2 linked regions of the Oryctolagus cuniculus genome follow. The protein of the gene in region 2 interacts with the protein of the main gene of each other region in a biochemical or structural test. Links are inferred from orthologs where the notes say so. Each region holds a gene or a part of one and is shown on either strand. Other genes may lie near its edges.

The links.
Region 1: the proteins of PTPN6 (region 2) and LCP2 form a complex in vitro, tested with the Homo sapiens proteins (2 studies listed by BioGRID). The link is inferred for Oryctolagus cuniculus from reciprocal best matches to the Homo sapiens genes PTPN6 and LCP2.

What each region holds. Positions count from the first base shown.
Region 1 is NC_091437.1:57,183,500-57,189,972, forward strand, and holds the start of LCP2 (lymphocyte cytosolic protein 2), read right to left. Parts: upstream 3,713-6,473; 5' UTR 3,500-3,712; coding exon 3,422-3,499; intron 1-3,421. UniProt on the Homo sapiens protein: Adapter protein primarily involved in signaling pathways within T-cells, as well as other immune cells such as platelets, mast cells, and natural killer (NK) cells.
Region 2 is NC_091440.1:102,585,572-102,591,589, forward strand, and holds part of PTPN6 (tyrosine-protein phosphatase non-receptor type 6), read right to left. Parts: intron 5,959-6,018; coding exon 5,836-5,958; intron 5,651-5,835; coding exon 5,456-5,650; intron 3,416-5,455; coding exon 3,226-3,415; intron 3,085-3,225; coding exon 2,968-3,084; intron 2,861-2,967; coding exon 2,747-2,860; intron 2,596-2,746; coding exon 2,499-2,595; intron 2,187-2,498; coding exon 2,107-2,186; intron 1,971-2,106; coding exon 1,821-1,970; intron 1-1,820. UniProt on the Homo sapiens protein: Tyrosine phosphatase enzyme that plays important roles in controlling immune signaling pathways and fundamental physiological processes such as hematopoiesis.

The sequences.
Region 1 (6,473 bases), on a different chromosome or scaffold from region 2:
CAAGCAGCGCTGAGCTCAACAGCTCTGTTATCTACGTGTGGGGGGTGCGAGCACTTCTTAGAAGAGTCAACTGCCTCTAACACATCATTTTCTTTTTTTTTTTTTTTTTTTTTTTTTTTTTTGACAGGCAGAGTGGACAGTGAGAGAGAGAGACAGAGAGAAAGGTCTTCCTTTGCCGTTGGTTCACCCTCCAATGGCCGCCGCTGCAGCCGGCGCACCGCGCTGATCCGATGGCAGGAGCCAGGATCCAGGTGCTTTTCCTGGTCTCCCATGGGGTGCAGGGCCCAAGCACCTGGGCCATCCTCCACTGCACTCCCTGGCCATAGCAGAGAGCTGGCCTGGAAGAGGGGCAACTGGGACAGAATCCGGCGCCCCGACCGGGACTAGAACCCGGTGTGCCGGCACCGCAAGGTGGAGGATTAGCCTATTGAGCCACGGCGCCGGCCCTAACACATCATTTTCACTGTCATTATCTGATGAGTCTCCAATCTTGCAGGGTACGGGATTTTGACTCTGGCTTGACAGGCAGCCTTGAAGACTGGGACCTGATCCAGCAAGATCTGGGCCCAGGGGATCTAGAATCTGTATTTGTAACAGGGGCCCTGGATCGCTCTGATAATTCTGATGAGCATCTGGCTTTGGTAAGCACTAGTGTGGAGGTTGCTTGGCTTTGTGGCTCAATGACTGAGACCCAGAGAGGGGAAGGGACTCGCGTAAGGACACGTGGGAAGTTGGGAACACAGCTGGGATTCAAGCACACCGCTCTGAGCTAGTGTCTCTCCAGGGCAGGGCCCAGGGGTGTTGTCCCTCCGTGTTGATAAGAATTGGAGGGATTAAGCCATCACCAAACACGGCCTAGGTCTTAATCCCAGATACAGGATGAGAAACACATCTGAGGTAAAAAGACTTAGAGCCCTGCGATCCACATACCAATGAGTGGCCAGTTAACACAGCAGGAAACTGGGAGCAATAAACATTTTGATACCTCTGTCTGCTGAATGCCTCACATACACTATTTCCTTTACTCCTCTCAACCATTCCACTGGGTTTGTTACCCTTCATGTCTGTTTAATTGCCTGCTTTGGTAGAACTTGTGCCTACCAATTGCCTTCCAATCATCTACCAATCAACCCGTGAAATGATACATTTTATTTCCAAGATCCATCCCCAGATGACCCTGTGTTGAGCAATGTTTTCTCTCTTGAGGACTGACTTGCTCAGAGAGGCGAAGTAGCTAAGGGAAGGCCACCAAACTAGCAGGTGGCAGAGCCAGGGTTCCAACAAGGTGTGTCTGACTCCAGAGTTGGGCAGCGTGGTATCACTGAGGGAAGCCTGACCCTGACACGTGGGTAGAAGCTGCACCCACCAAACGCCTACCCACTGATGCGTTAAATGGGTATGCTTGATCACTAAGATCCATCCCCAAATGAACTTGCAGTCAGTGCGCTCCTGGTTCTGTCTCTTGGGGACTGAGATGGCCTGGGACTTCCAGGGTCACAGATTCCCCTCTGCCTCCTTGTTCCTACCTGGGTCCTTTTGTGCCGGGAGGGGAACCTGGCCCAGTGCTATGCAGTTTTTGCAAGGTCTTAGAACTCCAAGAAGAGAATCATCTCTTCCCCGAACTCAGACAGAGAGCTGTGTCCTGCCCTCCAGTCTGTCCTATCGCCCTGCGCTGACAGGAACTTTGTCTACAGACTCTCTGTCGGTCAGCTGAGTTGTGAAATTTTTCTGACCACATTTGAAATAGCCCCTCAGCCTCTCCTGGGCCTTTCCCTCTGTAACTCTCAACTCCTTTCTCCCTTCTTTATTGCAATAACGTACCACATACTTCCATCTGGGCAAATTTTACCTTTGATCGCCCTATCTCAGAGAAGTATTAGAAACACTCTTCAAAGGCCAGTCGGGCCAGTTGTCCAATGATCTTTGCATCTACAAACCCAAAACCTAGTTTTGTTATGACTTTATACATGTGTGGGGTGGAGGCAGAGGGGACAACAGAAGTGAAATGCACAAGAAACAGAAAACGACAGGCTCTGTGGGGCTGTGCCCCTACCATGCCACACCTGGTTCAAGGTTTTTGTTTTTAGGCTGGGGAAGAACCATCATCACTGCAAATACCTTGGTACTATGAGACCTCAGGTTCAGCTATGTGTCCCAGAGAGCCTATTCCACCCCCGCGGGGCTCAGTTTCCCCAGGAAAAACAGTTAAGTGAGATGACATGTAAAGTCTTAGTGCTACAAGCTCTTCTTTATGCTGGTCTGCAGTATCAACTAAATGTGGTGCCAGCCTGCAGGGAAGAGGATGTTAGAAGAGCAAATGTCCCTTCGGCTGGTGCTGTGGTACAGTGGGTTAACGCCCTGGCCTGAAGCGCCGGCATCCCATATGGGCTGCTGCACTTCCGATCCAGCTTTCTGCTATGGCCTGGGACAGCAGTAGAAGATGGCCCAAGTCCTTGGGCCCCTGCACCCACATGGGAGACCTGGAGGAAGTTCCTGGCTTCTGGCTTTGGATTGGCATAGCTCCGGCCGTTGCAGCCAACTGGGGAGTGAACTAGCAGATGGAAGACCTCTTTCGCTCTTTCTCTCCCTCTCTCTCTGCCTCTCCTTTCTCTGTGTAACTCTGACTTTCAAACAAATAAATAAATCTTAAAAAAGAGAGCAAATGTCCCCTGCAAGGCATCCTATGCTAGAGACAGGAACAGAGGATCCATACTTGCTCGGGCAGGCTTGTGTCCTGTCATCCCCACCAGCAGGTGGACAAGCAGACGATCTTTGAGCATCTCTTCCAAGTCTGGAAGGTAGGACAGCAACCCTGGTCCCGGCTCCACTGCAGTGAGACTCTGATCTATGTAAGAACTTGAGGACCCAGCTTTCTGGGCCCTGAGCAGTGAGTGGCCAAACGCCATGTCTAGCGTTGTTCACCCTCTACCCCTGCCTCCTTCCCTGCCTGTTGTTCTGCACCCAGAGCACCAGGTCTCCCCTTTCTAGAATGTAGTTCTCTTCATCTCAGAGCACAGACTGAAACTGCACAGAAGTGACTCCAATCCTTCTGTCACTACCACCTGTAGTCCCTGTGGCTTTGGGCTGTTTAGCTTCCTTGAGCCTACCTTGAAGCTGAGCCACAGGGATGACAATATTGACCTCAGAAGATTGTCAAGAGGGATCAATGGCACAGTGCTGCAGTGTACCGAGTTCAGGCCCTGGCACATGGTAGGCACCTACTCATTCAAGAGCTCCTGCTCCCACCCTCCTCTCCAGAACTCACTGCAAGGAGCTCTCAGTGGTCTCCCATGGCGCTCACTCTCCCAACAAGGCTGCCGAGAGGCCAGTCACTCCACAGCTGTCTTTTACACCTCTTGTCTTCTGCCCAGCCCATGGAGGGCACTCCCAGCCCGACCACCAACAAAAGAGTGGGTCTCACCTTCTTAAAGTAGTCAGCAAGGCTGTCAGGGTCCCAGGCGAGGACTTCGGAGCGAAAGGGCACGTTCCTCAGTGCCATGGCCGCTGTCTTAGGAGGGGGCTCACAGGTTGAGCGTGGATGCTGCACCCATGGACAGAGAACCCCAAATCCAGATCTTGGAGGCGTCCTTGGCTCTCCCAACTCCCAGCTGCCCCTGGATCGGCCTTGTTGGAGCAGACGTCTTTTCTGCTGTAGTCGGATCCCAGAAAGCAGCAGCTTCCTCTGCGAACAAATATGGTCTCTTCTCAGAAAACGACTTGGCTAGTTTCCTTTACCACTTCCTCTGCTGGCTTCTAAATAAGTAAACAAGGAAGCCCAGCTCTGAGGGCTTGAGATGCAGACAGAGTGACAGGGCAGGTCATTCTCCACCTCGCCCGTGGTCCTGGGCACCCCTGCCCAGCAGGAGGGGCCATGAAGGGCGCTTAAACTCCGAAGCCAGCCCAAGCATTTTGCTGTTAAAACTCCTGTCCCTTCAGCCCCACCCCATGGGTCTACACCACGTTCTTGCTCTGCTGGGGCTTTGCAGATGAATATCTATTCATCTGACAATTGACCTAAAATATAGACAACTTCCAGCAACAGGGAGCTGTGGTGTGGGGGGACGCATGCATGATGCCCCTTCTTCCCTCTTCTCTCAGCCCTAGTCTCTAGCAGTCTCTGCCTGCTACCATTGAAATGAGAGGGTGAGTCTGTAGTGCGTCAGGCATCCAAGGCTGAGCAAGGCGCTACCCTGGGCCAACCCGGGTTCCCTTCTGATGGGAGCTTCTCTGTGCTGTGCAACCTTAGGCAAGGACTTAAAATCTGGGGAGCTCAGTTTCCCTATATGTAAAATAGGAAAGCAGAGGAATTGCCTTATACACACATAACAAATAGATGCATTTAACTTGAGAACCTTCAAATGAAAAAATCAGAAAGCTAGAAGTGACAATTGCTACAGCTGGTGCCTTGGATTCCACTGTGTGTTTACAGCTCATGTTTTATTCACTGTTGATGACATCATGTGTTTCAATCAAAAAGCACATTCCCTGGAGACAGGAGTAGGAATCTTCTAATTTCTTCACCAGTCTCAGACTGTGCATTTCTATAGACGGAGCAACTTGTTGTCAGACAGCCAAGCCAGGGTCTAAAAGGCAATGCATTTGTGCAATGCAGCAGTGGCCTCTGAACAAAATAGAGCTACTTCACTCGGTTCTACACACTCACTCTCTCTCTCACACACACACACATAGCCACCAGTGCTGGTGCTTTGGGAAAGAATCAAGCTTTGTTGCCTTACTGAGCAATGCTATGACAGTCCCTGCATGGTGCCTTCCTGAAGGTTTTTCAAGGGTAGCTTTGGCCACACACACTCTACATCTTATACACAATGTAAGGAGCCCACTGTCATGTCATGCTCCTGCCTCCCTAGCCGGTTGCGAGCTTAAGTGAGGCACACATTTAGTCCCAGGCCCGGCACCTGGACAATGGTGCATGGGCTGGTGATAGCCTCACCTCAGTGGGTGCTGGGGACTTCAATCCAGGTGGTCTAGGCCAAGCGCTCCTTCCCAGGTCCTGTGCCAAAGAGTAACTGGGCATGCTCTGCCCTGGGGAGAGGAGTCACTTGGTCTCTGAAATCACCCATGTAGCAGCAAATGGTAAAAGGGCTCTTGAAAAGAGAAAGAGGAAAAAAAATTTCTTCCAACCAAAGACAGCTTCCCAGAATTACCTGGAATTTATGCAGGATCTTGGGGACTGGAGTAGATTGGAGGGCATTTGGGACATTCATCAACAAATCTCTCTTTCTCTCTCGTAACACACTGTTGAAAGGAACATTATAGAGCAACTCTAAAAGTAGAAGCAATGTTTTTCTTTAAACGATGTTCATCCTCATCCAGGAGAAGGAAAAAAAAAACCAACAACAGCAAAAGCAGAGGTTGGAATAAAGGTAGAGCCAATATGTTCAATAAACATGGCCAAGCTGGACAATGCATGGGCTCATTGAGAAAATAGACACAGCCATTCAGAAACCTAGTTGACATTGATGAGAAGGATAAAATTTGCAAGACATGCAATGCATTGAGTCCTTCCTATGTGTCATGCGTGTGCAAAGAACTTTGCACTGATTATCTTACTAATTGTTGACATTATTATTATTATTAATGATTGTAATGTCTTACAAATGAGAAAACGGAGTTTGAGATTGCTGAAGCAACTTGGCTCCTCGCATCTGGCAATTAGGTTGCAGAGCTAACTCTTGTCAGAAGCTTATGGGAGCCCAGAGCCCCTGTCCCACACTCCTTCGGACCACCTTGGGTGGTCACTCAGGCCACCTTGGGGCTGAGAGGTTACATAAATTGTCCAGCCTGGAGACAGGATTCAAACCCAGATCCGTCTCTCGATTCTGGCAGCTTCTTCTCTATAGGTTTCCCTCCCATGAACAGCAAGTGAGGCTGTCAATCTGAGCACACCAAAAAAGTCTATGGCCCCTTCCCCGTAGAAGCCAGATCCTGAGGGCAGCCACTCAGGCCAGGGTAGGTGATGAAAGGGGAAACTGGATCATTGCTTCAGGCCTGGAGTCTTTCCTCTCCCCACGGCCCTTGGCGATTTCCCAATACTCTCAAGTTTCACATCCCTTGTCTCTGGCTGGAAGGTTCTAGAAGCTCCAGAGGTAGGGCCGTTAGCCTCCAAGAGAGGCTCAGGGGCCAGAAGGTCTGGATGCTGCATTTCCTGTGAGTGTTCGGACACGTATACACCTCCAGCTTGGGAAGGAGCCAATCTCAACCTATAAGAACAGCATACTCACACACAGGGAAGAGGAGCTGACAGAACAGGAATCTCAGGTGTGCAGCCAGTGGAGCCATGGACAGGAACGTGGCACTTGGAGAGTGCGCTAGATCAGATTGTTCAATCCACAAAATATGGACCTGGGAGCAGCAGATTGCACCTCAGAATAGGGAGTTATCTCAATGTCCCCTCCCCATTCTACTGCATTGAGACATGACGCCCTCTCCCCTTTCCACCTAATCCACAGCAG
Region 2 (6,018 bases):
GCCACCTAGGATCTGGTCTTGGCTCAGACAACACGGTGAGACCTGAGCAGCCACGTACAATTGGGAGAATAAACGTCAATGCAGGTTACAAATATAAAGGAGACCCCACCTGTGCCCTGCACCTCGGAAGCTCAAGAAGGACTGGGGAGCAGGGAAAATTAGAACAAACAGAACACACTAGAAGGGGCTAATTTCCCCCCTGGGCTCTGGAGGCAATCAGAGAGGCTTCACAGAGGAGGCAGCACTTGAGCTGGTCTTCAAAAATGAGGCAGAGGGCCTGGCACTGTGACACAGTGGGTAGAGCCACCACCCGCAGTGCCAGCATCCCTGTGGGCGCCAGTTCAAGTCTAGGCTGCTCCACTTCTGATCCAGCTCTCTGCTATGGCCTGGGAGAGCAGTAGAGGATGGCCCAAGTCCTTGGGCCCCTGCACCCGCTTGGGGTCCCAGAGGGGGTTCCTGGCTCCTGACTTTGGATCAACCCAACTCCAGCCATTACGGCCATCTGTGCAGTGAGCCAGCAGATGGAGGACCTCTCTCTCTCTGCCTCTGCCTCTCTGTAACCCTGCCTTTCAAAAAATAAATAAGTAAACCTTTTTTTTTTTTTAAAGAAAAAATAGATTTATTTATTCATTTGAAAGTCAGAGCTATACAGAGAGAGAAGGAGAGGCAGAGAGAGAGAGTCTTCCATCTGCTGGTTCACTCCTCAATTGGCCACAACGGCCAGAGCTACACTGACCCAAAGCCAGGAGCCAAGAGCTTCCTCCATGTCTCCCACGTGGGTGTAGGAGCCCAAGGACTCAGGCCATCCTCTACTGCTCTCCCAGGCCATAGCAGAGAGCCAGACTAGAAGTGGAGCAGCCAGACTCAAACCGGCCCCCACATGGGATGCCGGCACCTCAAGCGGCAGCTTTACCCACTAGGCCACAGCACCGACCCTAATGAGTAAATAAGAAAGAAAGAAAGAAAGAAAGAAAGAAAGAAAGAAAGAAAGAAAGAAAGAAAGAAAGAAAGAAAGAAAGAAAGAAAGAAAGAAAGACAAGACAGAGACAGTATGGGGAGAGAATAAAATGAGTTTGGGCAAAGCCACAGAAGCCTGAAGAGCCTGACCCACGGGAGATGGTGGGTGCCACGGGTGCCAGCCTTACACTGAAAACTCAGGTGGAGGGCAGCTGGGAGCCACTAGAGGGTTTCCAGAGAGGAAGCCATGGGGTCAAGTTTGTGTGCTTTGGGCAGGGTCACTTTGGCTGCAGGACAGGAGGTGCCATGGAAGGGCGAGCCCAGAGAGTAAGGGGTGGGCTCCAGAGCCATTTATGAGACAGAACAAGAGGGGCCTGCAGGGGGACACATGGGGAATGGGCAGCAGTAAGCTTTGCTTCCAAACACGGTAAGGGGAAGGACAGTTTAAAACATGGGGCTTGGGGCTGGCGCTGTGGCATAGCTGAGCCCCACCTGCAGTGCCGGCAGCCTATATGGGTACCAGTTCTAGTCCTGGCTGCTCTACTTCCAATACAGCTCTCTGCTATGGCCTGGGAAAGCAGTAGAAGATGGCCCAAGTCCTTGGGCCCCTGCACCTGCGTGGGCCATCTTCCACTGCTTACCCAGGCCATGGCAGAGAGCTGGATCAGAAGAGGAGCAGCCAGGACTAGAACCAGCACCCATATAGGATGCCAGCACCACAGGCGGAGGGTTAACCTACTGCGTCACAGCGTTGCCACCCCTCCTCCCAGCAGGGGTTAAACCCTCACCCCCTAAGGTCCCTTTCTGCCCTGGCATCTTCAGTTTCTTTGTTTCGGTGGTGAACAATGGGGCCTCAGCCTTACCCGGCCTTTCTCCACCTCGCGGGTGGTCATGACGATGACACGGGTGTTCTCCTGCCAGGCCATCTGCCAGAAGTCATTGACCGTGGCCTCCAGGCAGCCCTGGCTGGCGATATAGGTCTTAGTGTTCTCATCGGGGCCTAGCAGCTGGTTCTGGATGCAAGCAGAGAAGACAGCCCCAGGACCATGAGCCTCTCAGCAGCCTGGGACAGGCCTCGACCACGGCCACCCTCTTCCACCCGAGGGTCTCTGTGTCCCCAGGGCTTCCCATGGGACCTGCCACACTGACCTTGACATAGTTGGCATTGATGTAGTCGGACCCAGGGATGTTACTGTCCCTGCCCTGTAGGATCACTCGGCTGTGGTCAACTGGGAGTGGGCAGAGGGGAAGCAAGGCGGCCTGGTCAGACCCTGCCTACGCTAACAGGTCAGGCATTCTGGTCTCAAAAGCCATGAGGCTCACAGTGGGCTGCAGGGGATCTGTGTGGGGCGGTGGGGTAGAGGATTGAGAAGGAGGAGTTTGGTGAGAGCAGGCGGCAACTGCCTGTTGGCTGCGGGCACAGGGTGGGGGTGGGGGTTCCACTGGGAGGAGTCGGGGCTTTTGGAGGCAGGGGTGGCTTCCTGGAGGGAATGGGAGGGTGTAGACCCTGCGCAGCGGGGCGGGGCTGTCTGGGTGCTCACAAGGGAGAATGTTCTTGTAGCGGTTCTTGCTCTTGTTCTCTGGCCGCTGCCCTTCCAGCCGCTGGTGCAAGTTCTTTACCTCCTGCTTCTGCAGGCTCTGCAAGGGGAGAGAGGAGCTTGAGCAGCCCCCCTACGAGGGCACCCACGGGCAGACAAGACCTGGGGCCAGGAAGGTGGCCACCCGGGACCCCACACGCTGGCCGCCGAAGGCCTCGGCCGTCCCAGCCCTGCAGAGGCCCAGCGCGCACCTCAAACTCCTCCCAAAAGCCAGCTTTGGCCGAGTCCTCCGACTCCTTCTTCTTGTTCAGCTCCAAGACCCGGCTCTCAATGTCGGCTGCGTTCACCCGCGTGGCGTAGTATGGCTGGGGTCAGGGAAGGCGATATGTCAGCCACTCGGAGGTCTCAGAAGCTCATGCGCAGGCGCGAGGGCTCAGGGGCAGGCAGCAGGCAGCCGGGCCCATGTGCTTACCTGCCGCAGATAGACGAAGGCACCAGAGGCCTCCTCAATCCCCGTCTTCTTGAAATGCTCCACCAGGTCCGTGAGGCTGTCAAAGGTGTCGGGACCGCCCACCGTGTAGCGTCCACCCTGAGGGTGCCGAGCAAGGCCATCCCTGGACCCGAAGCCTCGGACCTGAGCCCCAGCAGACCCGCCCCGCCGCCCACGCTGCGGGCACGGACAGGAACTCACACAAGCCCCCCCCCCCCCCGCCCCCGCCCAGCTGCCTACCTCGCACATGACCTTGATGTGGGTGACCCTGAGCGGGGAGCCAGGGCCACTCTTGAGCTGGTCGCTGAGCACCGACAGCACAAAATCTCCAGGCTGGCTGAGACTCTCACGCACCAGAAACGTCCAGGGCTCGCCCTTGGCCTGCAGCAGCGTCTCTGCCTGCCCTCCAGACATGTGGCCGTGGTACCATCTAGAGGGAAGCAGCATCAGGGCAGATGAGACCCAGGTCACGGGGAAAAGGCCCCGGGCAGGCAGAGGCATTCACAGACTGCCCACGACGTGCCAGGCACTGAGCTGGATGCTTGCAAGTCCACCACATTGAGGATTGAGATCCATTGCTCTCTCACAGAAATGTGCTGGGATCCCACTTGACAGGTGCAGAAACTGAGGCTGAGCAGCCGCACACCGGCCCAAGACCTCTGACTGGTAAGAGGCAGCCTCAAGAGTTCTAGCCAGGCTTTGGACCCAGAGCCCATCTGAGAACTCAAGACAGAGGAGAGGCAGGCACTACTGGGGCTCCGTGGAGAAACCAGGGGTGAGTCTCCGGAGGAGGGGTCTGGGCTAGGGAAAGGCAGCAGAGACAAAGACATGCAGACTGAGTGGGGGAACTCAGGGGGGAGACCGGGCAGGGAGCGGGGGACACAGCCCCACTAGGGACACAGTGGTTTAGGGGGCTCTGGGTGCTCAGCATGATGTCACCAAAAGGGAGGTCGGGGTTCACAGGGACGCAAGGGGGCAGAAAACAGAACTAAGACCTTTCCCCGAAGTATACCCCCTTCCCAGGAGGAAACCATAGCCCCGCGATGCCCAGCCCCACAGGAAACCACGTGATGGAAAAAACACCAACTCCTTCTGGGGAGAGAGTGAGAAGTGAGGTTTCCTCAGCCGGCACCAGGGGAAGGGGGGCATTTTCCAACCGCAGGGATGGGGGAAGGAGGGAGGGGCCGGCCTGTCCCCAGCATGTCCCCTCTTCCCCCCACCCCCTCCCTGGGGAAGACTCCAGCTCAGAGGCCCCCTAGAGTCCCCCACCCCGCCCATGAGCCCCCAAGCCACCCCTCCCTACCACCACCCAGGGGCAGCCCAGGGCCCCCAGGCAATGGGGAGGGGGCGAGCCCCCTTCCCTGGGCCCCAGGATGAGGAAGTCTCCATGCAAATGTGAGGCTGACCACAGACAGGGACACAGCCATCCAGGGGACAAATGCAAATGCCGGAAGAGGAGGCCTTGGCCAAAGAGGGGGCAGAGGTTTCAGAAGCCTGCAGACAGGGCCTCTCGCAGGTTCCTGGGGTCAGGGGTGAGACCCAGGCCTCTCAGCTTGGGTGACCCAAGAGGGTCCCCACCTCAGCACTGCCTTCCCTCCCCTCCTGCTTCTCCCACGCCCGGTGAACCCAGGCCCCCAGCCCTCTCCCCAGGGGCTGCTCAGCTCCCCTCTCCAGCGCCATCCACAACCCACGGCAGCCCTAAGGTCTCCTCCAGCAGGGCCATCCAGGCTTGAGGTGAGGAGAAAGGGGCAGAAGGAACCACAGGGGCAAGCTGTGGGTGGGGAGGGAGAGGCCAAGGGAGCAGGCGGCCCTGCTGAGGCGTCCCTCCAGGAAGCCACTCTCCAGGGCTTCGTGTCCACCCCGGCCCTGTCCACTGCTAGGTTTGAACCAGTCACTTGGGCCAAAATACTGACACAGGTTTGGTGGCATGAATCTCAGAAGGACTGAAAACTGACAGGGGCAAGGTGCAGAAGCATTTCAACAGGAGTCAGGATGAAAAAAAAAAAAAAAAAAAAAAAAAAAACAACCCTAGGCAGCCCACAGCAGGCTCTGTCTTGGAGATAGGGCCAGGGTGAGCCCCTGGGGCCCTTGGGTGAGGTTCACGCTCTGGGGAGGAGCCAGCCCTGTTCTGGGGGTCGGCCTTGAGCACAGTGCAGGGCCCTGTCCTTCCAGGACCCCATACCACCTGCTTCCCATTACCTCTGTGGGGACCCCATGGGCTAGACCCCCTCTCACTGGGTTGCCCGGAGCCCAGCTCACACAGCTCGCCTGTAGGGGCCCGGGTCATAAGCAGGCAGATTCAGTTCCACAGAAGGGAAGCTTTCTAACAATGGGCTCGGCCGCCACGAGGGGCGGCTTCCTGCCACCAGGAGGACCCCGGTGAAGGGCAAGGCTGCAGCATAAGAGGGAGAAGCGGAGCCCAGAGGCCTGAGCCGGGGCGGGCCAAAGGGGCCGGCTGCAGGGCCCTCACCTCTCGCTAGTGGGGTCGGAGCAGTTGAGCGGGTACTTGAGGTGGATGATGGTGCCGTCACGGTCCTGCAGCACGCCCTGCTGCTGTGTGTAGTACTCCACCAGCTCCGTCAGCGTGGCGAACTTCTCCCCTCCATACAGGTCGTAGAAATCCCCAGAGTTCTGGATCCGAATGTGGGTCACCTGGTCCCCGACCCTGCAGGGCACCAGCCGTGAGGCCAGGCGTCTGGCCCCCCGGGGAACCCATGGGGAGGGGGCCTGCGCAGGTGTGGGGGACGGGGTGGGGGTGGGACAAGGACACAGCAGAGGCACGGGGCCAGGGGAGCAGGGAATGAGGGCTCCAGGGGCCTAGGCCAGTGCAGCGTCGCTGGGACCACCTACCTGACAGACAGGGAGAAGTCTCCCTGGTTCTTGCGACTGGGCCGAGCCAGGAAGCTGCCATGGACGCCTCGGCCCTTGAGCAGGGTCTCTGCGTCCAGCCCACTGAGGTCCCGGTGGAACCACCTGGAAGGCCGGGCAGGGTGGTGAGGAGAGGTCCCTCGGCCGCCCCAGAGCACCCCCATC